Caenorhabditis elegans: one gene and its partners. The protein of the gene in region 1 interacts with the protein of each later gene in a pairwise test. Each region holds a gene or a part of one and is shown on either strand. Other genes may lie near its edges.

Region 1 (12,351 bases):
TCTTTTTCGTCAAATCGATTTTCTTTTGGAAATGATCCTGTGGTGTGATGCATACGTTAGCTTTGATGGCTGAAAAAATGGAGAAAATATTATACAAATATGTATAATTTATTATATTTAAGACTCACCACTGACAGGCTTACGGGATGAACCAGAAGCCATTGCACGTGGATTCACTCCTGCTGGAACAGAACTTCGGCCGTTTGTCGCTTCCAGCTGCATTTTATTTTGATATTTTGGTTGTTCATCTTGAGGAATATATCTGAAATTTGTATTTTTATGTACTTGAAAGGCGTACTTAAAGGCGCACAGATTTTGGGTCTCGCCGCGAGAAAAATTAATTTTTTTACAGTGTCCTTTTTTCCCCGAAAATTAATTTTTTTTGATCTTTGTTAAGATTTCTATGAAATACAACTAAAAAAGCGGAGAAAAGATCTTGAAAGTTGCGACGCGGATTTATGCATGTCGATTTACGAGAAATCTTGTACTACACGTGGACAAGTGGCAATTTCGCATTGTTTTACAGATTTGGCTTCAATTGTACAATCTTTTTAATTCAAAATAATTAAATTAGGAATAATTTAACGAACAACACAACGGTAAAATATACAACTTTTTGTGAGAAAATTATGAAATTCCCCGGAAAAACTACGATATTTCTTTCAAAATTTCGCCTAAAAATCAGCAAAAACAGCCGAAAAATCGAAATTTCTGTCACGTCTAGTACAAAATTCTTCGTAAATCGACAAGCGGTATTATATTCCCAGTATCGCCAGATTACTGACCCTCCTTTCACTCGTCTCGCTTTTCTCCAAGTTCCGTCGGCTCTTTGTGTTGCTGTGATGAATGTTTCACCTTCAAAATAATTAAATTTATACAAAACTTCGCGGTGGAATTTTTTAATCTACGAACCATTTTCAGTCTCAACACGTAGATCACCACCTTCACTACACGATGGCTTCGTCTTCGCGGCGGCGGGCTTAGTAGACATTATACGGCCTGAAAATGGCTTATTCTAGATCTCAATTTAAAAAATTCAGCTAGTGAATAATACAAAAAGTTAAAATCGTAAAACTAAAATGTTATGATGATGGACTGAACCAGTATTTCATCCGAAACTCGAACGCGATTGGTAACAACGAATTAATTTATTCATGATGGTTCTGGTGGTTTAAAAGAGTTGTGATCAACTTTTTTTTGAAAACGGGCAGAACTGAGAGAGACGACACATCGGACCAACAACCTTAAGGATAAGTTCACGGATTAGAATACAACCATCACAATTTCATAGGGGACGGAATAAATAGAAATAGAATATCATAATTTAAACAAAAAAAGTGTATAGACATCAAGCAATAAATTACAATATAATTATTGATGCGGGGAGAAAGTGAGGGGGTGGGGGTAAGAAAATGGGGATAAAACTATCGAATTACATAAATCCAGGGGCATTATATCCTGGTTGTCCAGGTTGACCGTAAGCAGGCTGTCCGCCATAGCCACCAGTTGTTCCTGGATAAGTCATTTGTGGGGCAGGGGCACCATAGGTAAGCATAAGTTGTGGTTCCACTGAAAATATCAAATAAATTTAAATTCTAAATATTTGTTAAAACTCACTGGTCATTCCATTGTTTTGTTGCTGCTCAGCCTTCTCCTCTTTCCTCTCATGCTCAGAACGCTCCAACTTCTCAAGTCTCGTCTGATAATCTCTCATAACTTGGATCATGTAAGGCATGGCGTAATCCATAATCTTATGCTTCCAAGCGAGCTCCATGATGACATCGGGGTGAAGGAGATCATAACAATGGTAAAGGGAGGCGGCAAAACAATCATAAAGTTTCTCATCCAGGAAGAATGACAAGAGCTCTTCGGCGAGTTCTCCGTTTCTCGATTCTGCAGCGTATTCCATGGCATCCTTGTACAGCTTGTCTTTTTTGCAAAGCTCGATCGATTGCTTCCATCTGTTGTTTCCCTTGAACAAGTATGCGGAAATTCTTCTGAATTCCACAAGTGGGTGCTTCTCAAGTTGTTGGGCCAAAGTGATATTGTCAAAGTTGTCTTGAGCCTCAATAGAAGAACGAAGCCCGGCGTGATCCTCCTCATCAATGAGCAACTGATTCAAAGCCTCGTTGATAGCCTTGTTGTTCAAGTTTTGAACTTGTCTCAAGTAAGGCTTGACCAGTGGGATTTGCTTCACTGAAAATTATTGTTATTAAAAGTTTAAAAACTAAACGAAATTTAAACTTACGCTTATTGAAGAACAAAACTGTGCGCGAATGATCCAACCGAGGCGATAGCACAGTAAGAAGGTCATTCAGGAGAAGTGGCTTATAATCCAGGTAGAACTGCATTGCTTTGTAGTATAGCTCAACATTAGCGACTTTAGCGATGACTTCCTTGAAATGTTGCTCTCTCCAAGATTCAGTTGGATGCTGCATCATTGTCAGTGCGGCGTTATCATATTCTTCGTATTTATCGTACAAGAACACCAACTCGGACCAAAGATGAGCCTGCTCGGCAGCACGAAGAACTTTTGGAATATTAACACGGCTCCAGAACAATTCCAAATGCTCACGCATCTTCTCTGGCTTATACTTCGAGTACAAAATCGCGAGTTCGGTGAACATTCCCATGTGAGCCCGTTCAAGACCCAATGCAGCTTCGAGAAGAGCAATGAGCTCTTCGAAATGTCCACGATCTTGGTAGAAGTTGATCAATTCCTCAAGCTCATCAGCGTGGACAACGATGTGAAGTCCACACATCTGGGCAAGCCGGAACTCTCCATTCTCGACACAAGAGAAGCACACTTGTTTCCATGTCTTCGTGCTGTTGGCTTTGCGTGCAGCATCGACAGCTCCTTGATATTCTCCAAGACGAACAAGAGTAACGGAAAGTTTGGCGAAGTTGGAAACATTGTTGAAAAGGATCTTAGCGGAATCGAACATTCCATTGTCAAAGCAACGATCTCCAATTTGTCCGATTTGAGCGTGATTTGGTCCAGCGATAAACTCTTCAAGTTCAGTGAGACGACCAGTCTTGGCCAGAGCAAAAACGAGTTCCGTTTCGATGTATGACTCACGACTCTTCTTGCGAGCCATTTGAAGGTAACGAACAAGATCTTCCCAGTGCTCCGTTTGAGAACATTTGTTCACAACCTCCATGTACGCTCCTGGATCATCGGCCTTGATAAACGAATCGACAGCCTCCTTCACCAAATTTTGTTGGAGCTGTGCCTTGGCTAAAGATGCCCAGACATCTGACTGGTTGCACTTTTCAGCAAATTCGTAAGCACGATCCAAATTGTTCACGTTCTCGATAAGAACATTGATGGCACTTGAGTTCACATCGAATTTCTTGAAAATGGCAAACGCTTCTTCGTAGAGTTCAGAAGTTATAGCAATGTTAGCAATATCTGGAGCATCATAGTTGTCAAGCTTTTGAATGTACTCCATCACACGAGTTCTATCGGCCTGAAAGTGGATTGATCGAATATGTTTTCTAAAATAATTAACTTACTCTCATTGCAGTCAAAATGAGCAGATTTTGAAGATTACGGTGCTCCGAGAATGCAGAGTTATCGAGAACAATCTTTTCCAAAAGTTCAATAAGTTCGTTCGGCAAATCGGCAGCCATGAATGCCTTAACAGTCACAGAGATGTCTTCGGGATCTTGAGTTTCGGAAAGAGCAGTTTGAACCACTTGATCTATCAGCTGTCTACGATGAACATTCTCTTCGTTGAGAACTTGCTCCCACAGAGTGAAGTCTCTTCTCTTCACCAAATATCTTGCAAGATTCTTGAATAGTGAATTCTCGTTGCACACGTTGATCAATTCAGCGTCGCACTGTCCGCGTTCGTATGACAAGAAGGCGTAGTGAGGATCACGCTTTTCGCAGTACTTTCCAACAACTTTGCTATCGTAGTAGGGATTTTCCTTCAAGAATCGTTCGGGATTGTTGTTAGAATCTATGTAAATCTTGGCCATCGCATTGTGGGTAGCAGCATCAGTCGCTCCCTCCTGGATTTTCGATTCAAGCCAGTGATTCAAAAGCTTCAAACGATTGCGTTTCTCAACTTCCTCGACAAGCTCATCAATGTCAAACTTTCCACGAGTGTTAATGATCAATTGTTTGATAGCATCTTCACTACAATCAACATCTAGAAGAGCACCAACAACGATCGGAAGACGGGCGGCATTAACCTTTTGAACAAAGACTTCAATGTACTTCTGGAGCTGGTTTCTGTACAGGTAAAGAACAAGATCATGAACCATGTTATGACGATCGCAGACAATGATCAAAGGAAGTTGATCGTTGAGCTTGGCTTCCTTAAGGAAATTCTTGACACGTTCGGCATCATAACATTGCGACTCTCTACAGATACGCTCAACCTCTTTAATTTGCCCTGTGCGCGTGGCAGCTTGAATGTACTTGAAGTGAACTTCTGGGTCCTGGCTGAAGTTGACAATCGAACCAAGGAAGTAGAAAAGACCTTCGTATGACTTGTGATTTTCGAACATCTCAATCAGCTTGTCAGCTCCGAGCTGTTCATGATACTTGGATGCAATCTGCACAACGACTTGGAGGTTCTGTCGGATATTCTGAGTGAGCATGGCTTTCAAGCATTCGACCGAATCTTCAACAGAAAGGCTTCCGAAATATCCAACGAGCCACTGAAAATAAATTAGCATTTATTTTAGAAATCTAATTAGAAACTCACATCAGGCTTGAGAAGATGGGTGTGAACAACAGTTCGCTTAATGTCGTAGAGGTCAGTGAAGTGTTCGAGAGCTCTTTGAAGAAGTCCAGCCTTTTCGCAGAGTTGTCCGATAGCGGCACGATCGTAGTGAGAGAACATCTTGTTGGCTAGAATAGCATCGGCAACAGCTGGGGCAGCGAGCAGATTCATTTCAAGAAGTCTCGTTTGCAGATGTCCTTCCTCCGGCTTATCACCCTTCAAAACTTCGAGAAGGAATGAAGTGCATGGTTGAACAGCTTGAACCTCCATGAAACAGTCAATGATCTGAAAAGGTTTAAATTAGCCAAATCCTTATTCTCATTCGTTACCTGTGAAAGATCAGCAAGTGGTTCTCCGTTTTCGCTCTCAGAGACAAGAAGTTGAGCGAATTTTGCTCCATGATCAGGATTCGAATTACGGAGAATTTGACGAAGTTGGAACAAATAGTCTGGTTGGAATCCGACACGCTTGGCATACATTACGATCTTGTCGAATTGTCCAGTTTCAGCAAAAGATTGAACAACCTTGTGCGGGACATTTCCACGCAAATAGACTGAAAGAGCAGTATTCACATCGTGCGGCTTAATGAGATCTCCCAATTCTTCACAACACTCCAACTTCTGATCATTGAGCCACTTCGTTATCAACTCCTTTCTTCCTTGTGCCAAGACCGGACGACACAGCTCGAGTGTTTCGTATTTATTCAACTTTCCTTGATCGAGAAGAATTCCGAAATATTGAAGAAGTGGAGATGGTCCTGGACCAGTAGACGGGCACTGCTGGAACTTTTGAATGGTGGCTGGTGTTCTCAAAATTCCTTGTGGAGCCGATGCAGCAACCTTGGCTGATTCTCCAAACTGTCCGTTGCTGAACAACAAGTTGAATTTGCGAACGAACAACTCTTCAGCTCCAGGCAGATCACAACGCACGGCCAACTTCAAAGCCAAATCTGGATTTTGCAGCTGGTTCGTAACGAACGGAACCAAGTTAGCTTCATCGATAGAGACGGAAAGAACTTGTCCCTTTCTGTTAATTCCCATTATTCCTCCTGTAGCTGTGTATTCACAGGTCACAAATACGGTATCAGTCGAAATTCGATTCGAATAAATCCGTGTTCCAGACTCGACATCATAAAGATGAACATATCCTTGCTTTGTTACCAGGTAAATAATTCCTTGCTTCGCAGATACCTGAAAACCAACAATTTATTTTATAAACAACACCATTCAGCTTTTGAAATTATAAACAATCAATCAGAAAGATATCAAATTTTGTTTATACGACTATAAGCAACATACCTGCATAGACACTGGAAAATCGCCAGCTGTGTCAGCGGTATATGGAACATCAACATTCTTCTTTTGGAAAGGAGTGTTTCCAGCAGCTGGGGTTCCTACTTCAATAACGTGCAATTTTCCTCCATTATCGGTTTTGACGGAAAAACAGAATAAGTTAGATGGGTTTTGGTTTCCATCGACCTAAAACATTATTAATATGACAAATCCATCATCGAATTAGTCCTACCTTGAATCGAACGAAGCAAGCGGCATGGCCTTCGATTGGCTGCGATACTTTTCTCTCGGTACTGTACAATTGCATACTTCCAACGACACGGGAGTCTTTTGCGGAAATTCCAATAAGAACGAGCCACTTGTTTTCGGCATCAGCGCGATAATTTATGATTTGAGTTCCGGCCAACGACTGATGTCTATCGAACATCTTGACTGGAGCTGCATCACCCTCGATCGACCAATGATAGACGGCTGTGTCGGAAACGAGTGCAATCGTTTTCTCACTGATCCACTTCCAATAAACTACATCTTCTACATTCTGATGAGCTTTCACTTTTGCTTTCAACTCAATATTGAAAATTTGAAGTGTCTTGCCAGCTGAAAAAAGGTATAAATAAGCTTCAGAGTCAAATGGTACTGAAAACTAACATTTCAAAGCAAGAATTTTGGCAGTTGGGTGCATGATTACTGAGTCAGCAGAAATTGGACGACGAGTTGGATTCGCTGTGTCGGCCAAATCAATAATCACAACCTGTTGTTGATCACCAATCTGGAAATTATCCGTTTAGAACAGTTAATTGCGATTATTTGACCTACCATCTCACGAACAACAATGTTCTTATCAGATTCCATTGTGACATTGGAGAATGTAATGTTGGGCACCCGAATTCCAGCATTCGGAAGCTGCAGGTGCTCGTGAAATTTGATTGGGAGCGCCATCTTTGAAAACTGTGTGTAGAATGGAAAAACTTCTTACAATAAATTATATACCTGCAAATGGAGATGTTTGAAAAAAAAAGAAAAGAGAACACGATAAAAATAAAAAGATGAGTCACGTAAAATTTATCACAAAAGTGAGACATTTCCGGGAAATAGAAGTGAATATCGGTAGATTGAAGGAATAAATGGAAAAATATACAGCTTTAAAGCTAGCTTTGGCCGCTGTTATTACTGTGAATGATTTGAAATGAAGGAAAAATTGTAATTCCAAAAGTTAGAACTCTTTGCTGAGTAAAGAAAAATTTTTGAGGACTCATAGCGCACCTAAAAAGAGGGAAAACGTAAAAATAAAACAATTGAACGGAAATGTCTTATCAAGAGAGAGCTTTGTCAAACATGCAGAAGCCAGTTGATCGAGAGAAATGATTCCTGTTTGCCAAGCTTGAACAAGTCGCCCTGTCATCACAGGGCACGCGACGCGACGCGCCCCGCTTCTCGGTAGAGCGCGCTTTTCCGCCGAATTTCTTCTGGGAATTTTCTTCGCTTTGGGCGGAGTTTTTAATTTCACAAGGAAAAATTTATGTTTGTACGGCCGAAGGATTGACAAAAGAAAAGCGTTCGTATGAAATGAATGAGTCATCAGCAATTACGACAGTGAATTACGTGTTTGGATTAAGAAATGATTGCCGTGAAATATTGAAAAGAAAAAAAAAACAAATTTGATCTGCGGATAAACTTTGTTTTCTCAATTTCAATCAGTAGATCACTCATACACGGAAATTTTTCGAGTTTTACACAAAAAATACAGTACGGGGTCTCGACACGACCAATTTTCTTTGATTTAAAAGTGTGCGCGCCTTTAAGGAGTACTGTAGTTTGGAACACTTTTTTTGAACATTTCATTTTTTGTTCTGTTTTACCGAAATTCAAGGAAAAACTGAGATAAAACACGTTGAGAATCCAACAACGTTGCGCAAAAAAAAACCGATTTTTTTGGTCCAAAATACAACGAAAAACTGTTTTCAAAATTGAATTGTATTATAATTTTTTGGCATTTTTGAATAAAAATGTTATGTATTGTTTTCTGTTCAAATTCTCTTGTATTAGCCCTGCTGGAAGTTACAGTACTCCACGGACCGAAGATCACACTTTTTGCATTTAAGAGAATCTTTCGTGTCGAGACCCGGTACCGGTTTTTTTATGCAATTGCCACAGAAATTCGCAAATGTGTAATAGTTCCGCTTTAATGGAAAATGAAATACAAAGTATGTCGTGATGGGTATTGCGAAATCGCACATTTTATTTCGAAATCTCAAGTTAAGTAAATATAAAATCAAAAACAATTAATAAGATGTACTCTTATCCTGCAAACTCTTTTTCGCCTCGAAATGTGTGATTGCATCCGACTTCACATTATCATAGAAGCATCGTTTCATGTCCTCGAACCTGCAACCAATTTAATTCAACATGACTTTTGCCTCGAGAATTGGAAGATAAAAAGATATGGAAACCTGTCTAGGCAAGGCGCATAGCTGTAATCAATTGGAGTGTAGAGATCGGGTGTTTGATCGCAGAAGGTTAGACATTTACTTCCAGCCGTCGTTGCATCCACCTGACTTTGTGAGCAACACTGAAACTAGTAAGAAGTTATTGAGCAGATTTCAACGACCTTTTACCTGGCTATGATCTTTTCCTTGAGCCGCACAAAATTGCATTTCTGGCAGGAATTCAATCGGGCATTCACTTGAACCAAAGAACATTGATTCCAGCTATACAATTTTTGAAATTCAATTTCACAATATAAACTTGACCTATTTAAACCTACCACTCCTTTGTTATAAACATTAAAATGGCATTTCTGAACACATGCGGGAGGCAACTGTCGTTCCTCACAGCATACATGGAACAAGTGGTTAGGATTCTGAAAATTGATATGAAATATATTTAAAAGTTTGACTTTTTTACAGTAAAATCCCCATGATCTACCAAATGTACAGAAACAAACTTACTGTCAACAACTGAATGCTCTTTTCAGTGATTGGAGTTTTCGTATCATTCCAGACTTTGAGTCCAAAAATATTTCCATCATCCTTTCCATCAAACTCTTGAACCAAATCTCCACTAACTCGTTTTGCAGCTCTCGCCTTTGCTTTTGCTCGGCAACCACAGCAACCACATGCACCACTAGATCCACATGCATCGGTGAGAATGAGGAGAGTAGCGAGAAGAACAAAGAAGATTCGGATCATGATGGTAGAGGAGATATGAAACTATGGAAATGTTACTTGAAACTCTCAGATTTTATATTCATTGATAATTACACTTGACTATAATTATAATTAGCCAAAGCCCAAGTAGATGACCACTTATTCCAGTTACCTCTCGAATATTCTCAAATCCTCTTGAGTTCTCTTGAGTGACTACCAATTAACAATATGTAATTGCGGCTAGGTATAGGTACTCAAAATACCAGTTGCGTCAACTTAATAATTGATATAAAAACCCAAGTTCTGAAGAAGTTTTGCTAATTTTTGATAGCTCTACCATGCAGCTTCTACTCCTTATTTTATCGTTTTGCATAGGTCTAATGCATTGTTGCAGTCAATCAGGTGGTTGCTGTAAACGGCGGACTCCTCCACCGGTAAGTAAAAACATAGTTAACTTGAAATTGAATTTTAATGCCCGTATAACTTTCATAAGTCATTTGTAGAAAGAAAATTTGTCACTGCTATCGAAGTGATTTGACTATCAAAGCATTTGTGACTGTTAAAAAATTCATTCGAATTCATTTTCTGACTCTAATTTTCCACAGGTATCTTGTGGAGGAAATCAATGCCAACAAGGATATGCCTGCGGACAATACGGTTGTGCTCGAAGAAAAGCGTTTGGCTCACTAACTAAACGAATTGACGGAGTCTTGGTAAACGATGAGACACATGAACAGGCTGAGTTGGCAGAAGCAAGTGTCGCGTTACGACCGGAGAAGACATCCCAACATTTAAGTGTTGACAGATTAACAAATCCCAATTTTATTTTCCGATCGTGCTGTGAAGCTCGAGGTCTTCCAGATTCCTGTCTGCAGCTGTGTCATTTTAATACTTATACATTCACAACGGTAGGTCAAACAATTTAAGTTTATCGGGAAGTTACAGTATTCTGGAATTTTGTTAATAGTCTAAAAGGTTTCACCGCATGAAATAATATCAAGTATACAATTTGCTATCTAAAAATTGGAGTTTCTGTAAGAGGTGTGCGGTAAATTTGCCAAATTTGCCGTTTGCCGAACTCGGCAATTTTCAAAAAGTGGATTTGCCGAATTTGCCGAGCTCGGCAAATTTTGAAATATGCCGCACACGGCTGTTTTCTGTGGAACTTTTATATTATAGATTTACAAATAAACAGCTCTCAATCATTTTTTTTGGAAATTTTGTATTAAGCATACCTGACCCAAAAATATTTTCCAATATGCTATCCATTCATTTCTTTTAAAAATGATATTTTAATCGAAATTTTGAATGTTTTGCATTTTTAGGCTTTTGATTTTTTATTTATTTTTTTAAGACTAAAAAGGTTCAAGTAAAAGTTTCAAAATGGTGAATATTTTTGAGCCAGGTATACTAAACACGTACCTTTTTCCCTGATTTCAATCAATTGCTTTTCTAGATAGAGGCAATGTTCAATAAAGTTCACAAATGCCCCATCGAAGCCATCAACGAAATACATTATTGTGCTGCGCAAGGACTCGATCATCGAGAATGCTGTGAGACATCTGGAATCACAACTACTGTAGCCGGAAGAAAATGTCTTTCATTCTGTGATCAACGACCGAATCGATTCACCCCAATTGATGCATCATATCTGCCTTGCTATGAAGTATTTGAGGGAATGAAACAGTGTTTCTACTCTGAAATAAAACGACGAGCACAGAAGAAATTCCCAGGTTCTGATAAATTTGATTATGCTCTTTCTCTGCATTGATTTTTTAGGCTTTCCAAAGTAAATAAAACAATTTGAGATGAAATTGTTATTTGACAAATTGAGGCGACAAGACAGACACACAGATAAAGATGACGACGACAATGAAAATGAGAAGTAGCTTTCAGAAACTATAAAAATTCAAATTTAGGATGACCAGTCCTAAATGAAGAATTAATTTCTTGAAAGTTAAATTAAACTAGCAGAATGACGGTGACTAAAAACGAGAAGTGGGGAAAAGAATGGTGCTTCAACCGTCAAAGGGAGCTACCAATAATTACAAAAGGAGAGCAGTTTCGATTAGGCTTTAGCACTTTCCGCATGTCTTGGCACATTTGGATGTGTAGTCGGCGAAGTCAGCATTGTCGCAAAGTTCAGCGAAGACGGCGCAGTGACCATCTGAAAATACAAAGGCTTCAGAAGAAGTAAATAATGCTCGTAACTAACCTTCATCATCAGCACATGTAGCTGAAGTATGAACAACAAAAACAGACAAAATGACGAGGAAGTAGATGGCGATGGTCTTAAGAGAGAACATGATGATTGACTTTTGATAGTATCTAAAACCCCCACAGCCCTCTCTTTTATACAAATTTTTGAGAAAAGATACGCCTATTAGCTAATTCCTAACTATTTGCTCACCTGTAACGAGTCAAACAGGTGCCACCGATTTCCTTTTTTTACAAATGAGGTAGATGCTGATCGTTGATACATCTGTTTTGTGATTTTTAATGACACATCGTGATTTGTTTAATTAAATTAGGATATCTTGCATATTATAAATTAAAAACGTTCCTCAAAAACAGTATGTGAAATTTCAACTTGTTCAAAAATGCAAAACTGTGAATTTTCAATTTTAAAATCACGCGAATTACTGGATAATGTCTCTAATTCTTCAGGTTTCGGCTTTTCCAACTAAAAATTACCGCCAAAAAGGTTTGCCCGTTTCCATTATTTCTAAAAAGAACCAGCACAAAATAATTCCTAATTTCTACAACCTGTTTGAATCGAACGCTATTGTTTTTTGAAAGCTGAACCTAGAGAGAAGACCAGATTCAACAGAATTATGAATTGCAGTTTCTTAGTTTCTTAAACCAGAAGCCTCTACCTTCTACACACATTTTCCTGATGTTCACCAGCATACTGAAAGAGACCGAAATTATGTCATTCATCACGAAAAATTTTAAGGCCTAAAATTTCGCTCTGCTGTTAATATTAAAATTCGGGTTAAATGAAAAAGGTAAAAATTGTCACCCTCAGTACGAAAGCAAAGCACTCAAATTTTTTCAAGCTTATCTGTACATTTTTTTTTTAAGATTTCATACTTTCGTACAGTTTGTTAAATAATCAAGGATTCATGTCATTATTGATTGGACGTGATGGAGGTTTACGGGGCTGAAACAATTGTA
Region 2 (11,416 bases), on another chromosome or scaffold:
TGGAGCGGTTTTGGAGCGGTATTGGAACGGTTTTGGAGCGGTTTTGGAGCGGTTATGGAGCGGTATTGGAGCGGTTATGGAGCGGTCATGGAGCGGTTTTGGAGCGGTTATGGAGCGGTTTTGGAGCGGTTATGGAGCGGTATTGGAGCGGTATTGGAGCGGTATTAGAGCGGTTATGGAGCGGTTTTGGAGCGGTTTTGGAGCGGTTTTGGAGCGGTTATGGAGCGGTTATGGAGCGGTTATGGAGCGGTATTAGAGCGGTTATGGAGCGGTTTTGGAGCGGTATTGGAACGGTTTTGGAGCGGTTTTGGAGCGGTTATGGAGCGGTATTGGAGCGGTTTTGGAGCGGTTATGGAGCGGTTTTGGAGCGGTATTGGAACGGTTTTGGAGCGGTATTGGAACGGTTTTGGAGCGGTATTGGAACGGTTTTGGAGCGGTTTTGGAGCGGTTATGGAGCGGTTATGGAGCGGTTATGGAGCGGTTATGGAGCGGTTTTGGAGCGGTATTGGAACGGTTTTGGAGCGGTTTTGGAGCGGTTATGGAGCGGTATTGGAGCGGTTTTGGAGCGGTTATGGAGCGGTTTTGGAGCGGTATTGGAACGGTTTTGGAGCGGTATTGGAACGGTTTTGGAGCGGTTATGGAGCGGTATTGGAGCGGTTATGGAGCGGTTTTGGAGCGGTATTGGAACGGTTATGGAGCGGTTTTGGAGCAATTCGGAAAATATTCATCTGGTTAATCTTTTTTCGCCCATTCTGTTCATTCAGGTTTTGGGTTAATTTTTTCAATGTTATTGAGCTTATTTTAATGATGAACGACTCTTCAAATAGGAAAAGATCACACAAATTCACAACATTTTGTTTTCCAAAAAAATGCGTTAGTTGATTTAGCCGAACTAGCCGATCGGCGAATTCGGCTAACATCGGCCAAAATCGGCTAACGGATAACTACGTATTAGCCGAATTGCCAAAAAGTCGGCTAGCGGCTAATTCGGCTAATCGGTAAAAAGGTCGGCTAACGGATAATTCGGCTAATGTTAGTTGGGCGCGCTGTACGTATTTGGATTTTGTCATCAATCTGTTAATTCTTAAGCTTTTTTGTAAATTGAATTCAATTAATAAGTCAATTTCATATTATCAGTTTATTCAACACAAATTAAAATAAATTCAAAGAAATAAAGAAAATGTTGGGAACATTTGAAAAATTTTGCAACACGCCAAGCCATTGAAGAGGACAAAGAAAAATTTAGAGAAAAAATTTGGATCGTAGCTATTTTAATAGAATTTAGAAAATGTTCATATTTTTCCAGGGTGCTCAAAGTGACAGAACACTATCGTACAAAAAGCTCGAGTTGAACGAAATCGAAAATACCCAGATGTTGGGAAACATTTAGAGAATTTTGAATTTCTTGCTCCGGTGAAGTACTTAATTTTTGAGAAAAAAAATTATGAATACAGTATATATATATGTATATATTTGTGAAGTTTTAAAAAAAATGATTTAAAAAAAGGAGAAATAGAAAACATAGTTGAATTGATTCAATGGCATTTTCAGGTTTGATACATTAAATTAGATAGGGGCAACGAAATGAAAAACAAAGGGTGCTTATTTTCCGCCGAGAAAGCCACTCTGAAATAGATAATTTTTTTGATAAACTTTAAAAAATTCGATTACTTACAATTTTTGTCACAAATGTGCCCCAGATTGTGGAATTCGGCGTAGTCTTCTGTTTAGGAGGTGGTGGGCTGAACAGAGCGTCGTCTTTATCCTCGGTGAGAAATCTTTTGCGATTCTGAAAAAAAAGATGGAAACAGAGATAGAAATTGTCCTAACGAATATTTTACATTGATGCAACTTGTAACTTGAAACTCATAATCAAGTGAATAAATTATATCTTTAAGAATAGTACTTTTTATAAAATGTTTCGTTTGAAAGCATTTTACATTTTCGATTAAATTTGGTTGGACAGTACCCGTTCTGATAAATATAATAAAATGACTAATTGAGTCATGAAGCCAGGGCGAAGTTTCCAAATTTCAATGATTTTATTAGACATAAAACTAAACTAAACACTAACCATGGGAGCCTTATAGTTTCGGTTCTTCTCATCAGCCATCTTTTGATCCTCGTCATCTTCATATTCTCCATCTCCATTCTTTTCTTCATCTTCCTTCATTCTCTCTTCTTTTTCTTGCTCTTCCTTTTCTAGTTCCTCTTTCGGTTCACCTCTGTGATGATTTCCATTTGTTCCACTTTTTCGAATATCTTCACTATCGTCCAATTCCAATTTTAAGTCGCGAGAGACAATTTTTTGTATTTGATCAGGGGTGTTTTCGACTCCGTTAAACTCGAGCTTTTTGTACGATGGTGCTCTGCCACATTGAGATCCCTGGAAACATATGAACATTTTCTAAATTCTATTAGAATGCACACAAACCCATAGTTTGCCTCCTAATGTTTCCTTAGCCTCTTTAATAGCTTTGGTGTGTTGCTCCGTAGACTTTTTGAATCGATAGTCTCGATGCAAAGCGAAAATCGCCTGAAATAAAGTTTAGAACCTTTGATATTATTTGGATTTATTACTCACACCCTGTGGAACAATACTCGTTCGGCCTTTCGCTTTCCAGGTAAAATATTCTACTCTCCATGAGACGGGATTCCTTCCTCTCTCCATATTCACCAACTTGCATGGCCACGAACCTTTGATCACAATATCACCAGGTTGGAAACTCATCTGAAATTGATTAATGTTTCAATCTTTAAAAAAAATGTTGGGCCATAATAAAATATCAATTAAAATGCAGTGAAACAAGTTGATATTGTCTACTGTCCAAAGCCAAAAACAAGAAAATGCATTCTGATGGTCAAACTAAGAGAAAAAATCAAACTACTCCTATTTCTAAACTATTTGGGTGCTGTGTATCAAGAAAAGTCTTGACAAATAGCAGGAAAAATTGAATATTCAATGGAAAAAACCGCACCTTCTCAGCCGTGTTCTTTCACGTTGGCAAGTGCCTGTGCGGACGGCATGTTCGGTCCGTTTCTGCTTGTGCGTGCGGTGAGATTAGAAAAAGAGATTTAGAGATCGTAGGAAAAAGAGAAATAATATAGAAATCATTGAGTGAGAGAAGCTAGACGGTCGCAAAAGGCAGCAGACGGCAGGGGCCCCAGGAAGGGGAAGAGCGGAGGAGACGAGGACGGCCATCTGTTAATATGCAGGAGAAATAGTGTTATGATGCAGGGTAGTCGTAGATACGTTTGGTTCACTTTTCCAATATATTGTAAATACTGTGAAAATTGTCAAAGCATAATATTTTTTCCATTTAAAATTATGGGATATTTTCCAAAGTCTCAAAAGTTTTATAGCGCCAGTTGGGATAACTTTTTTGAAATCTAAAAAAAACGATTTTATCCTTTCAACTGAATTATTTTTGTCACAAAAGATCTATTTCAAATATTTACCGTATTGACGCTACTCCATTCAAAAATTAAAACAAAAAAAATTAAATGGAAGCTGTCCAGTATATTGTAGTTTTTAAGTACTTTCGATAGATGCTAAAATAAGTGAGTAAATTGAAATAAATTGAAATAATAACATAAACTGAATGAAAAGTCACCCAACATTATTGTTTATTCCAAACCAGAAAAATAAATAAATATATACTTTTGACAAGAAAAAGTTAGAATGCCGGCATTCGATGACAATTTGATTTGACAAGTTCCTTTGGATTTTTGAAAAATATATACTTAAACAAAATGAATAAAATGACTGAATTATCGTTGTGACTTCAGTCTCGCAGGAGTACAAGGAACAAACGATTAAAAAATATGAGAATATGGAAAAACAAAATAATTTGACTAGTGGGAAGGGGGAAAGAAATGGGTTAAATTTATGAAAGTAACCATACGACTCTAGCCATAGAAACTCAAATTTCATACACATAAATAATTTGTTTTTCATTTTGTTATCACATGATTGTATTCTACTCGAAAGTTTCCCATTTGCTCCGAACCGGAGGAGGGGGGACTCGTATTGCTGAACTAGTGGCAAAAGCAGTTGCTGGTTGCCCTGACGATGTGCTCGATGGGCCAACTGATGCAGGTCGTCGGGGAGGTAGCGGCGGAGGAGCATACCAATCGGGTGCAGATGGGTTCATCGCTGATGGTACGCTTCCTACTTGGCTGACTTGTGCCCACTGATGGCTTTGTTGAAAATGGAGTAGGTGAGGTGCTGATGATCCACTTGGAGAGATTGACTGGACCGATGAGCCAGGAATCATGCGAGGATGTAGAGGTGGTGGGGGTCGAGAGGGCAATGGAGGCGCCGAGCCTTCTGGTGACGTCGCAAATGGGTCGGCAAATACGTTTCCTATTGCTCCAGATGGCGACCTGAACATTTGTAAAATAATTAACTGATTTGCGAATAACATAGTAACAGATTTGGTTTTCAAATTACCAGGTTTTGGCAATACATACATGTTTTATATCTTGATCAAGATTACTATACAAAATGTACCAGCATGTACAAGCACCAGCATTTCAAGCACCAGCTTGAAATGAAATTTTTTTTAATTCTTTTTAGTTATGAAACTATTTTTGAAACGGTGTTAGAAAACCAAATCATCAGAAGTTATCAAATGCATTAGACTTCTCATTGGACACACTGCAATTTTTTTGATCCTCGTTATATTTGAACAAAGTATGATTTTTGTTTATAAGGCGACATTACTTTTTATTCTACATATAAGCAATTATGAGATTTCCGAGCGTTTCCAAAATACTTCTACCTAGACAGAAACAGCCAGAAGCTTATAGATTAAAAGTGGATTAAACTCAGGCAGGCGCACAACGAACAGATAATTGTTGGTTGCCAGAAAAATAGAGCGAAAAAGTTCTACAAAGAGCCACAGCGTTATACTTTTTCTGGGTTGATTATTTGATCAAATACTCACTTGCGGTTGTTAGTTGCAAGTTCGGAGGGACGAAGAAAGTACTGTTCATCCACTGATGTAAGCCCAGACGCAGAACTTGTAGAAGGTTCATCCAAATCAATGAGGTTGGCTACTGGAACATTGTCCATCCTTGTTTCCACCGGGAAGCCCTCGTTTTCGTCACTTTTCTGGAACTATTCAAAAATATTAATACATTCTGTTATTTTCTAACAAACCGTTGCATCCCATTGTAGGTTATCAAAAGACATTGGCGACTGCTCAAATCCATTTTGATTGTGTGCTTTTTTTCTTGCCGCTGCTTTTCGTATTTCCCGAGGCGTTAGTTTCTGGAGACGATTTGCAATCTAGAAATTTGAATGTTTCAAATAACTTAAAATGGGTTGAAAAATACTTGTATTCCAGAAGTTTTCAATGCTCCGATGACGTCATTGGCATTCTCCTTGACCTGGAAAATCTTTTCAATTGCATTAAAAATTAGATGCCGAACAAGTTAGAAAATTTTTCAAAAGTCATGCACTTGGTTAAACTGAAAATCAAGTTGCTGAGATACTGTTTGACAACACGAATCTTACTGATTGCACCGTAGTATGCACCATTGGCTCATGATGATTTAGCTGAATGTTGGAATATGTCCGCACACTCGACGAGTTAACGTCATTGCGTTATACAAGCTATGATAACATTTGCTTCATCACTTACCGGCCGGTTTTTCAGATCCATCTGTTCGATTTCAATTTCGAACTGGTCTCCTGGCACGTGTCCGTCTTTGTACAATTCTAATCGGTCGTGGATGAACTAAAATATTTAATTATTGCGACTTATCAATATGCTTGTGCGGAAACTCACTCTTTCTAGGTACTGCACACCATCCGCACCTAATAGTGATGATACGTATGCTTGGTAGGATGGTTTTTGTTGCACCACAAACCGCTCTTTGGAAAAAACCAGAGTTTCAGGCGTATCACCAGTAAATCCACTTGTGTAGTCACCAAACAGCATAACCATAGCTCGTAAGAAGTGCTTTGCAAAAGTGTCATCCATTGCTGACTGCGACCGAAGTTGTGCTTTCAAAAAGTTTACAACTTCTTGAGGCATTGCTGCTACATCATCGAATGGGCTTGTTAACGTCTTCTCGTCAATATCAACAATCACCACTTCGCCGATGTCTCTTATATTCAGCCTCTTAAATAAAATACAATATTGGGACATCTATTCGAATTCACAAACCGCATTTTCCAAAACAGTTTTTGGAACGCCTATCAAGTATGGCATTGGTGCCATTACCATGTCGACGAGAGACTCGGGAAGAATTGTGATAAAAACTGATTGCCTGAAATATACATTGAAGTACATTTTAGAAAATTTAATAGCTTTTCAATAAGCGTCCTCATCATTGAGTTCAGAATTTTTGTTCCTAAAACTATGATTAAATACAGTCGCAAGACCAAATGTTTCGTGATGTTAATGTTGAATTCAAATTTTTCACCAAGTACTTTCAAGATTGTTTAAGAGAAACTTGAATTCTATGTATATGCATCACTAAATAATATAACAAGTTATCTTATACTGTATACCCTTTTACATTGCTTTTGATTTTTATTTCTTAACCACGATTTCTTATTACGTGGTATTACGTACTTTGTTTTAGTTTCTTAGTTATCTCAGAACTGCTATCACAGAACTGCGATTGCAATGCCTCTTGCTACCAATATTTATGTAAACATTTTTGTTAGAAATTTTATATTACTCACCAACACATTGGGTAGAGAAGCATCGAGACCGCATGGAGACATGAACTCAACGATCCAACTTTCCGCCCAGTAAACAGAATACGACGTTCTTTCAGTAGACTTGCAAAGATTGCTAACATCTGCCGAGGGTCGATGGCGTTGTAGAACTCGAGGAAAAACTTATCCGAGCCAAGAGTTGGTAATCGCGTGTGATCGGGAATTTTTTCAGCAAACACTACTCGATAGTTGTGCTGAGAAAATATTGCACATTTAGATATAAACTAAGGTTCTTACTCCATCTGTTTGATTACTATCAGCAAATCGTAAATATTCGTCAATATTTGGAATATCTGTGTGATAGAATTTGGTGAGCACTGATTCAACATCTTCCCTTTGCGCTGAACCTATCACCAAAGAAATATCGTTAAGAGCTTTGAAGAAGACATTTGGCCAGAAGAATCCACTGTAAAATATTCATATTTTTAAAGAGACATTTTTCTGACTACTTCTCTACTCTTTTCTACCGCCTTTTTTTAAAGCATATTTTAGTTCCAAGCAAACGGTTTTGTATTTTTTTTTAAGTTCTTGTGATAATAATGTTCACCATCACAAATCGTTTTCTTTTTTAAAATATTGCAATCATATTCGTCATCCTATCCTACGCGTTTAACATTCTTTTCATTTTTTCGCATCACACAACAACAACAACAGTTAAAAGTCACAAGAAAAAACGAACTCTGTTTTGTTCTTTTTTTCGTTAACGTTTTTGCAAGAGTTTATTTAAAAGGAATAGAAAAGAAAACGAAATATGATACTTCTCCTCTGCTCTTCAGGACTCATTTTCCCATGACAAAACCAAACGACGGCTATTTGTCAAAAGTAATGATGGAAAATCACTCTCACCTCAAGAAGCAGATGCACGTGTCGGTTCTTGGTGTATAACGGCAAAATCCAAACGAGAATTTGGAGTTCGAATCGGTTAGAACAAAACTGAATAATTGCACTGCGTCGACTTCTACTCTGAAATATTATAAAAACATTTTAATTCCATACCAATTTAGTTTTTTTTTAACAATTACGTACTCTCGTAGTTGACATGGAAATGCAAACTGTTGAACACTTTTCACAATAGCTGGATCGTGGAAATCGTCGGGATACTGGAGTCTTAAAATAGCAAGCTTTTCGCCAGGTTTCGGGGCATCAAGTTCGCAGAAGACGTCGTACAGGGTGGCCACGTCAGCTCTGAAAATATATTCTAAAAATGGATTGAACATTTCACAACAATCTCACCTGTATCTTCCATAGGTCATATGTGAAAAATTAAAGCCAATTGGGAGATGGAACCAACGGCAGAGAAGAGATCTAGAGATCGAAGACAATTGTTAAATTGAATTGAAGGTTAGCTTCAGCCACCCAACTGGGAACAAACGGACTGAAAACTGCTGGGCGGCGACAGCAGGAAACACTTGCAATATTACAATAAAAAGAACGGAAAACGAAAACTGCGTTAAAAGAAGACTGCTGGCGCGTTTCTCTTTGTGAATTCAGCTGACACGCGACTGAACGACAAAAAGAGGAGGGCGAGGAGAGACTACAGCAATAGAAGAGAAGGAAAAGAAACATGGAAAAAATGAAGAGCGAACAAGGCGTGAGAATGAATGGGATAAAATTAGTGACATAAATTTAGAAATAGAGGATGGAGTAAAGAAGAAAAATGGGTGCTGCCACCAAAAGCATCACATAAGAATCAAGAAATGTTACTATTCAGACTACTGGGTAACAATACCAAGAAAAAAAGAAACATGTGTCTTTTTTTTTAGTATCGCGCAGTCCTGTGACGGATGAGGAAAATAGAGCTGTCAAATGGAATGAGAAATGGGCTGTTGAAAAGGAGAAAACAGAATACTGAATTTCGTTGTGTTTTTCAGAATTTGATAACATACAGAGTTTAACTGTAGGCTACTTTGTGTATTTTAAATTACATATTTTTAGGGGTTTCAAGTTAAAAAGCGGATTTGTAGATTTTTGTTTTTTTGTTTTTTTGTTCGTTTTGTTCAAATTTTTGATCAAATTTTCGTTAGTTTTGAATATTATATCAAACTGCTAAACTTGGAAACATTGAAGTTCAAAAAAAATGGGAACATAAAATTTATTGGTTAAAGAAACAAATACTTTTGACTCAATAAAAGTATTTTCTTAAATAAATTCCGCTACCTATCTATTTTAAAACAATAAGGCTTTCAAACATGTTTTGCTTGCTTTTCTCATTGTTGATATTTTCTATGTTAACGTTACATAAATTTGACGGTCCTAATGAGCAATCTTTTTTTCATAAATGCCAGAAAACTTAACTTCCAAAAGCCGAACTCTATCTGCAAAAACTGAACAGTTTGTTGTCATCTAATGTTTTTTTTCTGGAAGAAAAAGAGTCTAGTCACTGATAGGAATGAAAAGACGCAGAGAATGTGCATGCACAGTTTGTAGAGGGATAAGACTGCAATCTATTTCTGACATTGCAAGCGAGAGAACGTTGTGCTCATATAATAAGAGAGAAATAGCCCATCTAAGCGATTTGTACGAGAAAAAAGTGAAGAAGTTTAAGAAACATGGACATATGATTTTGAATGTCTATGCAAAAAACGACTTATCAAGTCAAATTTATTGTAAAATTTACTTTTCAAATTAAAAGAAAAATAACCTAGAAAACTACAAAAATGCGAATTAAAAAAGTTCACTTCAAATCGGGACGAGTTTATGTAGTGCGTATTTCCCGCCGTCAGGTGGGGACACTGTGCAATGAAAAGAGGAGGAAAGATAGACGAAATGAATAAACACAGTGACGAATCGATAAATGCTACGAGAGTCTGAATGGTCTTGTTACGACAATAGAACGCCTTGCTCACCCTTTCCTTCTTCAAATGACATCTATAGTACCTGCTGAGAAGACTTACCACCGGCTTGTGTTCCACGTTCTGTTTGTTACTCACAATTGCTAAGCAACATGATGCTTTGTCTTGGAAATGGGACCGTGAGAGCTGTCCCTGGAAACCAGAAATTCAGGAGTAGTAGTGGAAAGTTGAATAGTTTTTTTTAGTGTGGGGTACGAAATACAAAATACAATTTCAAGTTTCCAAAAATTCAAAAATAAGAGAATACTGGTTAAAATGTATAAGTCCCAAACTACAATTTCACTACAAACCGAATAATTAGATTTTCGTGCAATGAATAAACACAAAAATTGTGGTGATATTTCCTTGTTAAAAACAAAATTAATTTGAAAATGTTTCTTCATATGAGTAAGACAAAAATTGGTGTAAAGATAACAGTAAAAACTCACCAAGGATAATTCTCTCCAATTAATGTGCAATGAAAAATAAAACTTTTTGATTGTTAAAAAAGAAATAAAAATGTTTATTCGGTCAAATAAATTAAAGTAAAATAGAAGGTGAATCAATTAATGAAGTTCAAAAGGAGAAAGCATTTTGCCAATAATTTAAGAAATTATTTATATGACACAAATAGGTTGTTCAGAAAGTGTGTCTGCAGAGGGAAAAGTTATAAAATGTGTGATTAAGAGAATGTCAGAAACGTCTGCTTATCAAAAAGTTATGGAAATGTCAATAAATTTTGATGTTAAAGTTCCAATCTGTCCATTGTTTCTCCGGTTTCTCCTCCGAGATTGTTGTTTTGTGCGAGATTGCGAAAATGCTGTGAGTTATTAAATTCATTGAGCAGCGAAAACATCAAATGGAGAGCTTCAATGCGACTTTTCCCCACAGGAATGTCGACGATATTAAGACAAATTTCCACATACTTTTCCAATGAAACATCCAGTTCGGCCGATGGTATCTGTCGGATTCAACGTTTTACGTTACAACAAAGCATTGAGACAAACCTTTGTCGTTTTCAAAACTTCTTCAAGTTTTTGTGGCCATTCTTGCATCAATGTTTCTACATCTGGCAGTTGAGTTCTGTAGTGAACTGTTTGGGCAGGCTTGCTTTTATGAAATTCCTAGAAATTAACATTTTTTAAAAGATGTCTTGACACTTTTAAAACAAACTTTAATATCAGAAATCCATTTCTTTATTTCATCTGGATTCTCATCAGCTCTTTCTAAAAGCTTCACTGGAACATCGTCATCGAGAATTGCCGCATCTTTAGTAGCATTTCGAATCTGCATATCGACAATTGTGGCGTCGCTCTGGTTGCTGGGTGGCTCGTCAATCTGCGTGAGCCCCACATTATCGTCAATCTAAAATTCTTGGTTATATAAACATGTTTGCGTGAGCTATGAATTCCGGACATACCTCGTCTGGCCTTGGCACTTTGATGAATAGGTCGACATCGCCCATTGCTGGGATGTATTCGATAGTGAATGGGCGTAATTGCGGGCGCAACTCTACTTCTTGTGTTTTATACGCGTCGATATAAGTCAGAATCGCAATTTCGTCTTCGGTGTAGTCTGAAAGCAGACTTCAGATAGAATACAATTATTGGTCAAAAATGATAAATCTATAAGTATTTTCCCGAAGAAACGGATTCAAATGTTGTTTGATTGCTTTTTTTGAGATTAAAAAGTTTCCACAAACATGATACAATGCGTCGCGAAATATATACAAAATATGTTCTTTTTTAAATGTTATCTTATTATGCTTCACTTGTTAAATTGAGAAAGTCGTGTACACTCAAAAGTATCTTCTTGAAATGTTTTGAAAACTACTCACTATCAGAAAATA
Region 3 (9,085 bases), on another chromosome or scaffold:
ACTCTCTTTTCATTCAGTCATTAAAAGAAAGAGGAGAGAAGTTGACCAATACAGTTTGCCTACCTTTTATCAACTGATAAGAAAGAATTGAATCAGTTTTATCGAACGGACAATGCACAAATTCTGAAACTCCAGTTTCAGGTAAGTATGTTTTCTTATTTTGAAAATACATAGAAATAGCTAGTTATTCAATAGACATAAAAATTCTTTGAGGTTTTTGCACTTCCAAGTGTAGGACCTCTTGACATAGTTTTAAAAAACTTTTTGTTAAAAAACTGGACAAACTTGACAATTTTGATAGTTGTTTATCCGTTTTATTTTTTTTTATTTCAAGGTTGAAAGCTTTACAAAAATTTGTTTAAAGTATGATATTGGCTTGATTGAGTTGTAAATAATCAAAAAATATTAAATAACATTATTAGAAAATTAACTTGTTGAACTCATGCTTTATTTGTAAAAACAAAAAATTTTCTGAAAGTTATAAATCCTAGATATGGGCGGAGGCAATTTTTTAACTCTTCTGTCGAAGTGTCACCTGTTTATGAGTTTCTAAAACGTTTTTAAAGTATACCGTATTTTCTCTATTAGTTTAGCAGCCTCTTCTTGCAGTTTCTAATAGTCTTGCACTCTTATGTTTGCTAGATCAACAATGTTTTGTGGAAACGTCGAAAAGTCCGTCTTTTTTTTTGGCTGAATTGAACGTAGAAGTGTTCAAGTAATTGATAAAATAATGAACAAGTATGTATTTTGTGTCATTTAATGTTTCAAGTCAAATTTTTGACAAGAAATTGTAAGCTTTACAAAGCTTTTGGATCTACGAAAATTAGTCTTGCAGCCTCTAATAGTATTGCAGTCTCTATTAGTCTTGCTCCCCTACGGGTCGTTTGAAAATTAGTCTTGCATGCAAGACTAATAGAGGGTATCTGAAAATATATTACTTGAGTCTAAAAACCATCGGTAATTTTCCGGAGATTTTGAAATCCTAGAATACGTCGACTGAAAAGTTTTAAATATCTCTTTGAAATCTATCCATGCATTTTGTTTGCTAACCGCCAAACCTTATCCCGATGTTTCTGGTTTGCACTAATTTCTATTCGACCCTCTCTCGTTTATCGTAAATCTCCGTCTTACGGGTCATATCTGCCTTCTTTATTTTCTTTCCAAAAGGGTTACTTTCTTGGAAAATGAGATGAAAATAGACCTCATTTCCATTTTCTACTAAACTTCTACAGTCCGTTCTGGCAATGGCCATTGTGACTATTCATCCAATTCGCGACTTTTCAAACTGTTATGAGTAGTAATCGGGCATTCCGCCATCGTTTTCACAACTGTTTTCCGATTTTCTTTTGTTGGACTTGAGAATTGGAATTCAATTCTTTCACACAAGACATTGTCACTTTTGCAACGTTCGGTTCCACTTTTTTATCATAATAACTATAATCAATCATAGTAAATGTTTGCAAGCTTCTGTTATTAGGATGGTTTTTTGTCGCAGATTTTTTTGCTTATTATAAAGGTACATATCACTAGCATTAATAATGAAAATTTTTTAACTTGATTTTGAGGTTGTTATGTTTTATTGTAAAATCAAAATATTTTTAACTAACTCATTTTAGCACTGCTGAATAATTAATAAGTACAACTATTTAACAGATTTTTTTTGAGTCACAATCCGGGATGGACGGCATTCTAAAATGTTGGGCATTTCGGATGTTTCGGCAGATGTTGAGTTTTAAAAATTGTGGCAATCGGTTTTTTCGGCAATTGCCGTCTACCCCTTATGAAAATATTTATTTCAAAATGTACCTGTTACAAAAATGCCACTTTCAAAAAAATTCTCTATTAAATTTTTTTTTCGATAAAAATTTACGAGGTTTGATGTAAATTATTATTAGTAGTAATAGATATCTTTTGGAAAATTTAATATGTAGTGCAATCATTCTCCAATCTCGGTAATATTGACTTATTTAATATTTTGCCTTAATTTAGCCACCAATATTAGACAATATTATTTCAAACGTCCTGAATGAAATCATCATTCGGAAGTGATCTAATCCATTTAACAAATAAATATTTATATCTAAAGCTTTTCGCCCGTCATCCTATCATCGCCTTTTTCGTCCTTTTCCCTATAATCAGACTATCGGTGAACGAGGAGAGAAATGTCAATAAACAAATTGATTAATCATCTTTGACAGGTGCCGGTGACCGGAAAATCCGTCATATCATAGTGTGAGGCAATCCGTTTTGAAAAAAATTCTATTGTGTTTGCAAAGTTAAACAGTTTTCAATATTCGTGTAATCTTAATTTTTTGTTTAGTGAGATTCATTTAAAAAAAGTAGTTCGAAATTTCAACGTTCCTCTAGATTCCTGACCACTTTCATTCTTAAACCGAATTATAACACATAACATCATGCACAAACATTATCATAATCTGTTGTATTTCCATCTTTATTTCTTATCACTTTTCGCATCTGTAGTTCGTTACAATTTTACGAGTTCTCGCTCATTCTCACTCCCGACTATCTTTCATTCCATTCCTCTCGATATTTATATTCATAATAAATAAATGCACTATAAATTTCTCCATCATCATTTTGCCTAGATTAATTCAACAATTGCATTTGGAGAGTAGCATATGTTTTCAGAATTTGTTCAAAATCACCTAGAATTCATCAATCAAGTCTGGAGTTTAAAAAAAAACCTAAGCTTTTATCCTCATCTTTTCACAAAACATCATCATTAACCGTTACTAAAGTATGCAACTATTAATCTGCTACTGCTTGTTGTTGTTTTGTATACATATCATGTTGTATTACATGTTGCTGGTCGACATCTCCTGTGAATTTAGTTTTACATTTTATTAGTTTTTTTGCACCTCTGAATACTATATTTTTATCATTAATAAAATAATATAATATCTAAATTCAAACAAATTCGAATTGTTTCTGTGCCAAAAACTATTCACGTTATGAATTGGTAACACTGAAAACTTCAGATGATGTTTTTAAAATATTTTTTTTTAAATATTTTTAAACTCAAAATTGGAACTATTTCAATTTCAGGGGTGCGCGACATTTGGTAATTTTGAAAACATTGGAAATAAAAATTACAGGAATTGCCGGATTTTGTTGGCAATCTTGTAACCTAACAAATTTAAGCTTGAAATGTCATGTGTATTTTAGTAGAGTTTTTTTGTCATCCGTTTGCTTGAGATAATTCAAAAATTTTAGAATTTGAGATACTTTTTTTTTCCAATTCCCGCGCACCTCTGTAGATCACAAAACTTGTTTTGTAATTAACTTTGTCATTTTATTAAAAGAATGTAACTTCTATATGAAGAGTATTTATTGTATTTAACAAAGAAATACGAATAATTTTGATTTTCTAACCAAGCCCAATGTTTTACTAGCTTGAAGTTTGATGTAACTCCATTATTGCACAGTAATCTGTGGTGTGAAACTGGCACGTATGTATGATTGAAATCACTAGAGAGATAAAAGAAGATAAAAGATTTTGCAAAAGTGGTTTAGTGCGGCACAAGCAATTGTTATGCGCTACCAACTTGTCTTCGTGTTCGCCAGAACTCACGAGCAAACACCACACTCTCTTCTCTTCTTGACAGTACAAAGAAATTGGCACATAATAGAAACCTGAGAGCTCTTTACTTCTTCCGTAGCACATCCTTCTTTTGTTTTTCGCTCATTTTCGTGTGTGTTATTCTCCCATCATCGTATTTTTTCACTACATATGCATAAAGTTGTTGATACATCATAGTCTGAATCATGGAACATCTCGTGGTCGCACATGTCTCCTTCTTCAAATTTTTTATTCAACAAAACAATGATTTCAAATTGTTGTATAAAAAACTAACCAAGCCTTTTTAAATTGCTAAGTTTCCGTTCAACAATTCATGTTCCTATTGAATCATTTTTTATTGTTGAAACCCATTATTCTACATTCAGCAATATGTAGGCAATTTGATTGAAATTCTATCCGCTTTTCCAAAAAGGAATGATGAAAATTTTAAAGGTTTTTTTTTCAGAATTGTATGGACATAGAAAATCTACAATCGTCAAACAACAGGTCACAGAAAAGTCGTCCTCCGGACGGCTTCAACGCCATCTTACAGACAGCATTTTCTGCTATTTTGGTGAGTATTTTTGCCATAATTTTAATACAAGTTAATACTAAATTAAAAATACTCCTATTAAATTTTTTAACTTAAAGGTAAAGTTAGGCCAAAACGAGATTTTCATTCGAGAAGAGATATTCATTCAGATTTCGCGCCTTTCTCGAAAATTGTCAAAATTCGTAAATATTGGATAATAATTAAAAAAATTTTTGAAGTTTCACGATGATTTTTTTTCAGTCCATCTTTATATTTATATCACATCCCTCTATATGATATTGAATCTGACATATGTTTTCTTTAAAATAAGCGTTCAGCCTGAGACCCTTCCCTCTCTCAATTATAATAAGAACAAAAGGGTATCAAAAATGCGGATCTTTTTCTTTAAATCGTGTCAAATTTCTCACAGTTTCCCGTGTTATTTCCAAGCATATTCTTCTTTTTACACCGGGCTTTCCGCTCTCAGAATTTATTAAATTCAAAATGTTTCGCGTATGGGTGGCAGCAAAAGCGTGCAATTGTGGATCTCGTACATTCGCTTGCAGACATGACCACCACACTTCCACTTTTTTCTAATAATCATTGCATTTCGGATACTAATTGCGTCTTGTGGTTGTCGGGTGGCCCTTCAACCGTCTCATTACATAAGGGCCTTCGTTCCGATAACTTTTTGCCCTTTTGGCGATCTGAAAACTGAGAGGAAAGAGGAAAACTAGTCCAGTAGATACACTATCCATTCATTAGAGAAAATTTGAATTCTTGACGCCTTCACCATTCCATTTCAATTCCCACACACCTTCTTACAACAATTCACCAATTAATTTGCTTTCTGAATTCAGGCGTTTGTCCTCTCTCTACGTATAATTGTGTTCGCCACGGCCCGGAAACGACTTACCACCACGGCGGCAAATCCGGATATTCAGGTTGAGGAGGCGTCGTCTTCCTCATCCGATACCAGCTCCGACACCGAAATTGTAGAAGAGGGTGTATTTATACAGGTGAGACCTTTTCTTGATTGTTTTTTCTTTTCACAAGACATTATCAATTTTTTATACTTTTGCCGTATAGGTTAAAAACTGAGTTTTAACATTTAACGTCTTGAAAGCGGAATTTTGTTTTCATTCACATATGAATAATTGTCAAACACGATTAAATATCGTAATTACACACATTTTAAGTTTTCATGTTCTTCGGAAGAATTATTTTCGGGAGAATAAGAATTATTTTTGAAAAAATGTCTTGCTTTCAAATAATTTCTCAATTATTTTGGGCATTACTGGAGATTTGAACACAACAATGTATATATAAAAATAATATGAATCTCCTTAATGTGTAAAACTGACAGGACATGTATTTTTTGGTTGACTTCCAAATGATTTATTGAAACTAAGTAAATGTTACTTTGTTTTGATTTTGTGTGTGATTTAAAAATTATATACATTTTTGATATGTTTGTTGGCTATTTTCGGATAGTGTAAATGTCTTGATCATATTAATATGCTAGGGATACCCCACATTCGAACAGTTCCAGATGATATTGAATGAAGATAATTTTAATAATAGTGGTAACGGAATAGAATGTATACATTGTAAAATTATACAACTTTTGAGCAAAAATTCACAATTAATTTACTCACAACACATGTGTTATTCAAAATTGTACGTGAAGCAATAAATCAAAAATTTAATTATAAAAGTGTCAAAATTATTATTTCTTTCCTGAAATTTATCTAATAACCATGTCTTGATTATGAGTCACTGACTAGAAATTTGCTTATTTTTAGTTTAATTTACGTTACCTACCTTAGTATTCAGTTCTTAATTCGCATCTTTTCCCAATTCCACTTGGCCAATTTTCTTCAAATTACCAATTCTGAACCATCTAACTCAACTCATCAAATCTCGACTCATTCATTCCACCAGACTCTAGCAACCTTATTAAAACTGTTCAATTGTTCCGTTGGAGATGTCAAGAGGGGCAGAAAACAGAGAGGGTCACAGACGTTTGCCCTTCCTCCAAATCGTCTTGGCCACTAACCTCTGTCGTGTTTTTTAATGTGCTACTACCTGGCTTCTTATGTGGTATTTGTGGTGTATATGTTGAATTTGTGTTATACTTTTACTTTTCTATATTCACGAGTTTTATACAGTTTAGAATTTATTTGTTCAACTAAAAATCTGCAAATGTCTCGATTGTAATTACTTAGTATACTTAGTAGGTTTAACGAACTTGAACTTTTTAATTTTTACTTATATTTGTAGTGAATTGATTATTGTAGGGATTATTCGTGTTTTAAATTTGAAAAAAAAAACACTTGTACCCTCTTGCTCCACCTTGGCAGTACTTGGGTAATTTTTGTTTTTATCAAAAAAAAATAAAATAGTCAAAATAGTCAACTAAGAAATATTAAATTCAACATAATTTTTTTCTTTGATAAACCCAAGGAGAACCGAAGTGTAAGCCGACAACTCAATAGTGAAAGTGAATTTTACTTTTACATAATTTTCCTTAGTGAAACTAAGTTGCGGAAAATTTTCTCAAACGATGCCAACTGGGAAAAGTCGAGTAAAAAGATACTGCCGTGCACTGCACGGTATACAAAAAGGAGATGCACCAACCTCAGCCACCTTGTCAATACACACAAATATGCATATACGTACCAGCTAACGCATATAAAAAGCCCTGTTTATTCAGATGATTCACACAAAACAACCCCGCCAGCTCTTCTGCCTTTTTGCCCCTTTTTCTTTTTTCTCTGTACATCGTTGTGTTCATATAATACAATATGTTTGATTTTTTGACTTTTGCATCCATCTCTATTCCTCTTCAAGTCACCAATCTTTCGCACTTTTTGTTTTTTCTTTATGTCTCGGGATTTCTTCATTTTCTGGTCATTTGTCATCAAATCATTGTACCGTCACTACCAATTAGTCATCATATCCGTTCAGTGTACAACGTTCCGTTCACTCCGAAAAGGTAGATTAATCCAAACCGCCTGTCAATCAAATTGTAGAGCCTACAACTATGATCTTACGCAGATTTCATTTCGTTTGTGTTTCTCCTTATACAATTTTCAATGCCATCACCATCACACCTTCTGATTTATGAGGTTCTGTATAGAGCGAAAGAATTGAAGGTTAACACTTACTATTAGATAAAAAGTGGAATAAAAACCAAAATCAAAACCAATATCTAAGGTTGAAAAATAAATAAAAAATTGGATAGGTAGAGCGGTGAGCTCTTTTCCCCCGTTTGTGCAAATCTCGGTCTCGACATCTATTTGATTGTTTGCACAATGTTTTTTTTCCAGTATTATCTTCTCTTTCATTCCACTTCCCGCTTTTTAGATGATACTTTTGACCATTTCATGTAGCCGCTTTCTTTTTTGTCTATTTAAAAACAAAGTATTCTAGTTTTAGTTTTTAGTTCATGGTTTTATTTATATTAGGTGTTCCAAATTGAAGAAACTGTTTTATTGAGAATTGTTATAGTATGTTCCATTGTCAATCAAATGTTTTGGCATTTTGATTAGAATCAAAATTGTTTTTTTTTATTGAAACAATATTTTTAAAACTTTTTAATTTATTACGCTCTCTCGGAGATGTAAAAAATACACAATAAAAATAGGAAAATTTGAAAAAAAAAAAATTAAGACTCATAAACGTTGCAAATACTTTTCTCAAAACTTTATCAAACCGTATAAAAAAACTGTCACTGACAAAACCTGCATTATGTCGTTTATGCATCATAACTGTAGAATATCTTCTGATGTACTCGAAAAAAAATGAATAGTCAAATAAGAGTGGTTACTTTTGCGTCAATAAATCTACTGTAAGCAAAATTGACAGAAACAGTTTTTTAGTTCAAGAAATTGAGTAGAACAAATTTAAAATTACAGAATTCTAAGAAGATATATGACCTTTCAAAAAAATTTCGGTTTCAAATTAAATGTATCACAAAGTAGAAAATGCATTTGAGTTTGAATTAATTCAACTTTGAAAAAAAATTTCACAAGAAGTGTTGGAAAAAATATCTCTAAAGCTGTGTTTTCCTCTAGAATCCAATCTCTAGATCTTTTAAAATTAAGCTTTACTTTTCATATTCCAGTTGCTTCATTCAATTTACTACTTACACCGCTTTTTCCTAGATCTTATGGTTTCTCCGTTTTGTAACCGCAAAAAGTGATACCTGTTATGTTACGACGACCCAGATTGTATCGCTGAACGGTTATAAAACAATTGTCGGAACGAAAAGTTTTGTTGACATTGTTGGTATAACTTATTGAATTGACAAATTTATCCGCTTAACAAGAAGCAATTTTACGGTTTCTTGTACTACTGAATGCTTAGTACAATGAAAAAAAAGAATTATTGTTTCTTTTGAAACATTTCTTCTTTGAATATTTAGAACAAAAAAAATCACATCACATTGCTGTTCGTTTCCCAATCCTTTTGTCTCTATGCATAGCATTTTTGATTCTCAAACAATATAACCGAAAGTATTTTTCTTTTCAGAGACAAGGGGAACCAACCATGTCAGAGAAAAAACCGGCACAAGGAATGCCGTCCGTAATGTCGCTGCTTCAAACTGACGAAATTTTGTCATCATGCTCAGATGACGAACCGTAAGTCTTTTCTAGTCTGAAAATAGAAAAAAAATTAACAAATGAAAATGAATTTTTTTTTCTGAAAATCTACTCTAAAGTTAACTCTCCTACCCATGGCCCAATCGTTATTAAAAAATGATTATGTGGAGATATGTAACAAAAATGCACAGTGTACATACTTTTACTGTATGAATAACAGAAAACGTTTTGAAATTATACAAACGACTACAAAATGTGTAATTCAACTGAAAAATAATATAAACTGAAACCTAATTTTTTAAGATTTGAACAAATATTACCGTTCCAAAAAATGAATTGTTAGCTGACTCAATTGTTTTTGGCATC

The links.
Region 2: the proteins of chc-1 (region 1) and rme-4 interact in a two-hybrid assay, tested with the Caenorhabditis elegans proteins (one study listed by BioGRID).
Region 3: the proteins of chc-1 (region 1) and ajm-1 interact in a two-hybrid assay, tested with the Caenorhabditis elegans proteins (one study listed by BioGRID).

The regions. Positions count from the first base shown.
Region 1 is NC_003281.10:10,198,488-10,210,838, reverse strand, and holds chc-1 (putative clathrin heavy chain 1), read right to left. Parts: upstream 7,019-12,351; 5' UTR 6,968-7,018; coding exon 6,845-6,967; intron 6,798-6,844; coding exon 6,677-6,797; intron 6,626-6,676; coding exon 6,261-6,625; intron 6,215-6,260; coding exon 6,035-6,214; intron 5,927-6,034; coding exon 5,066-5,926; intron 5,022-5,065; coding exon 4,719-5,021; intron 4,672-4,718; coding exon 3,517-4,671; intron 3,471-3,516; coding exon 2,249-3,470; intron 2,197-2,248; coding exon 1,618-2,196; intron 1,570-1,617; coding exon 1,433-1,569; 3' UTR 1,135-1,432; downstream 1-1,134. Other genes in the region: T20G5.9 (Partner of Y14 and mago), read right to left, coding at 1-69, 129-262, 786-855, 913-991; dbd-12 (DB domain-containing protein), read right to left, coding at 8,311-8,413, 8,479-8,597, 8,644-8,736, 8,793-8,888, 8,977-9,216; dbd-11 (DB domain-containing protein), read left to right, coding at 9,513-9,608, 9,780-10,082, 10,631-10,945; T20G5.8 (ShKT domain-containing protein), read right to left, coding at 11,250-11,341, 11,390-11,480. UniProt on the Caenorhabditis elegans protein: Clathrin is the major protein of the polyhedral coat of coated pits and vesicles. May play a role in yolk protein clatherin-mediated endocytosis by oocytes during oogenesis.
Region 2 is NC_003284.9:10,369,622-10,381,037, forward strand, and holds rme-4 (UDENN domain-containing protein), read right to left. Parts: upstream 8,149-11,416; 5' UTR 7,990-8,148; coding exon 7,970-7,989; intron 7,922-7,969; coding exon 7,763-7,921; intron 7,700-7,762; coding exon 7,583-7,699; intron 7,143-7,582; coding exon 6,974-7,142; intron 6,931-6,973; coding exon 6,701-6,930; intron 6,280-6,700; coding exon 6,177-6,279; intron 6,132-6,176; coding exon 5,796-6,131; intron 5,745-5,795; coding exon 5,649-5,744; intron 5,395-5,648; coding exon 5,341-5,394; intron 5,294-5,340; coding exon 5,165-5,293; intron 5,123-5,164; coding exon 4,950-5,122; intron 4,387-4,949; coding exon 3,981-4,386; 3' UTR 3,611-3,980; downstream 1-3,610. Other genes in the region: Y49A10A.2 (uncharacterized protein), read right to left, coding at 1,603-1,626, 1,676-1,789, 2,075-2,386, 2,435-2,536, 2,585-2,731; dyf-6 (Intraflagellar transport protein 46 homolog), read right to left, coding at 10,313-10,528, 10,575-10,691, 10,741-10,932, 10,988-11,142.
Region 3 is NC_003284.9:9,078,931-9,088,015, forward strand, and holds the start of ajm-1 (Apical junction molecule ajm-1), read left to right. Parts: upstream 1-4,052; coding exon 4,053-4,154; intron 4,155-4,972; coding exon 4,973-5,131; intron 5,132-6,338; exon of another isoform or gene 6,339-6,541; intron 6,542-6,757; exon of another isoform or gene 6,758-6,899; intron 6,900-7,102; exon of another isoform or gene 7,103-7,293; intron 7,294-7,355; exon of another isoform or gene 7,356-7,503; intron 7,504-8,648; coding exon 8,649-8,758; intron 8,759-9,085.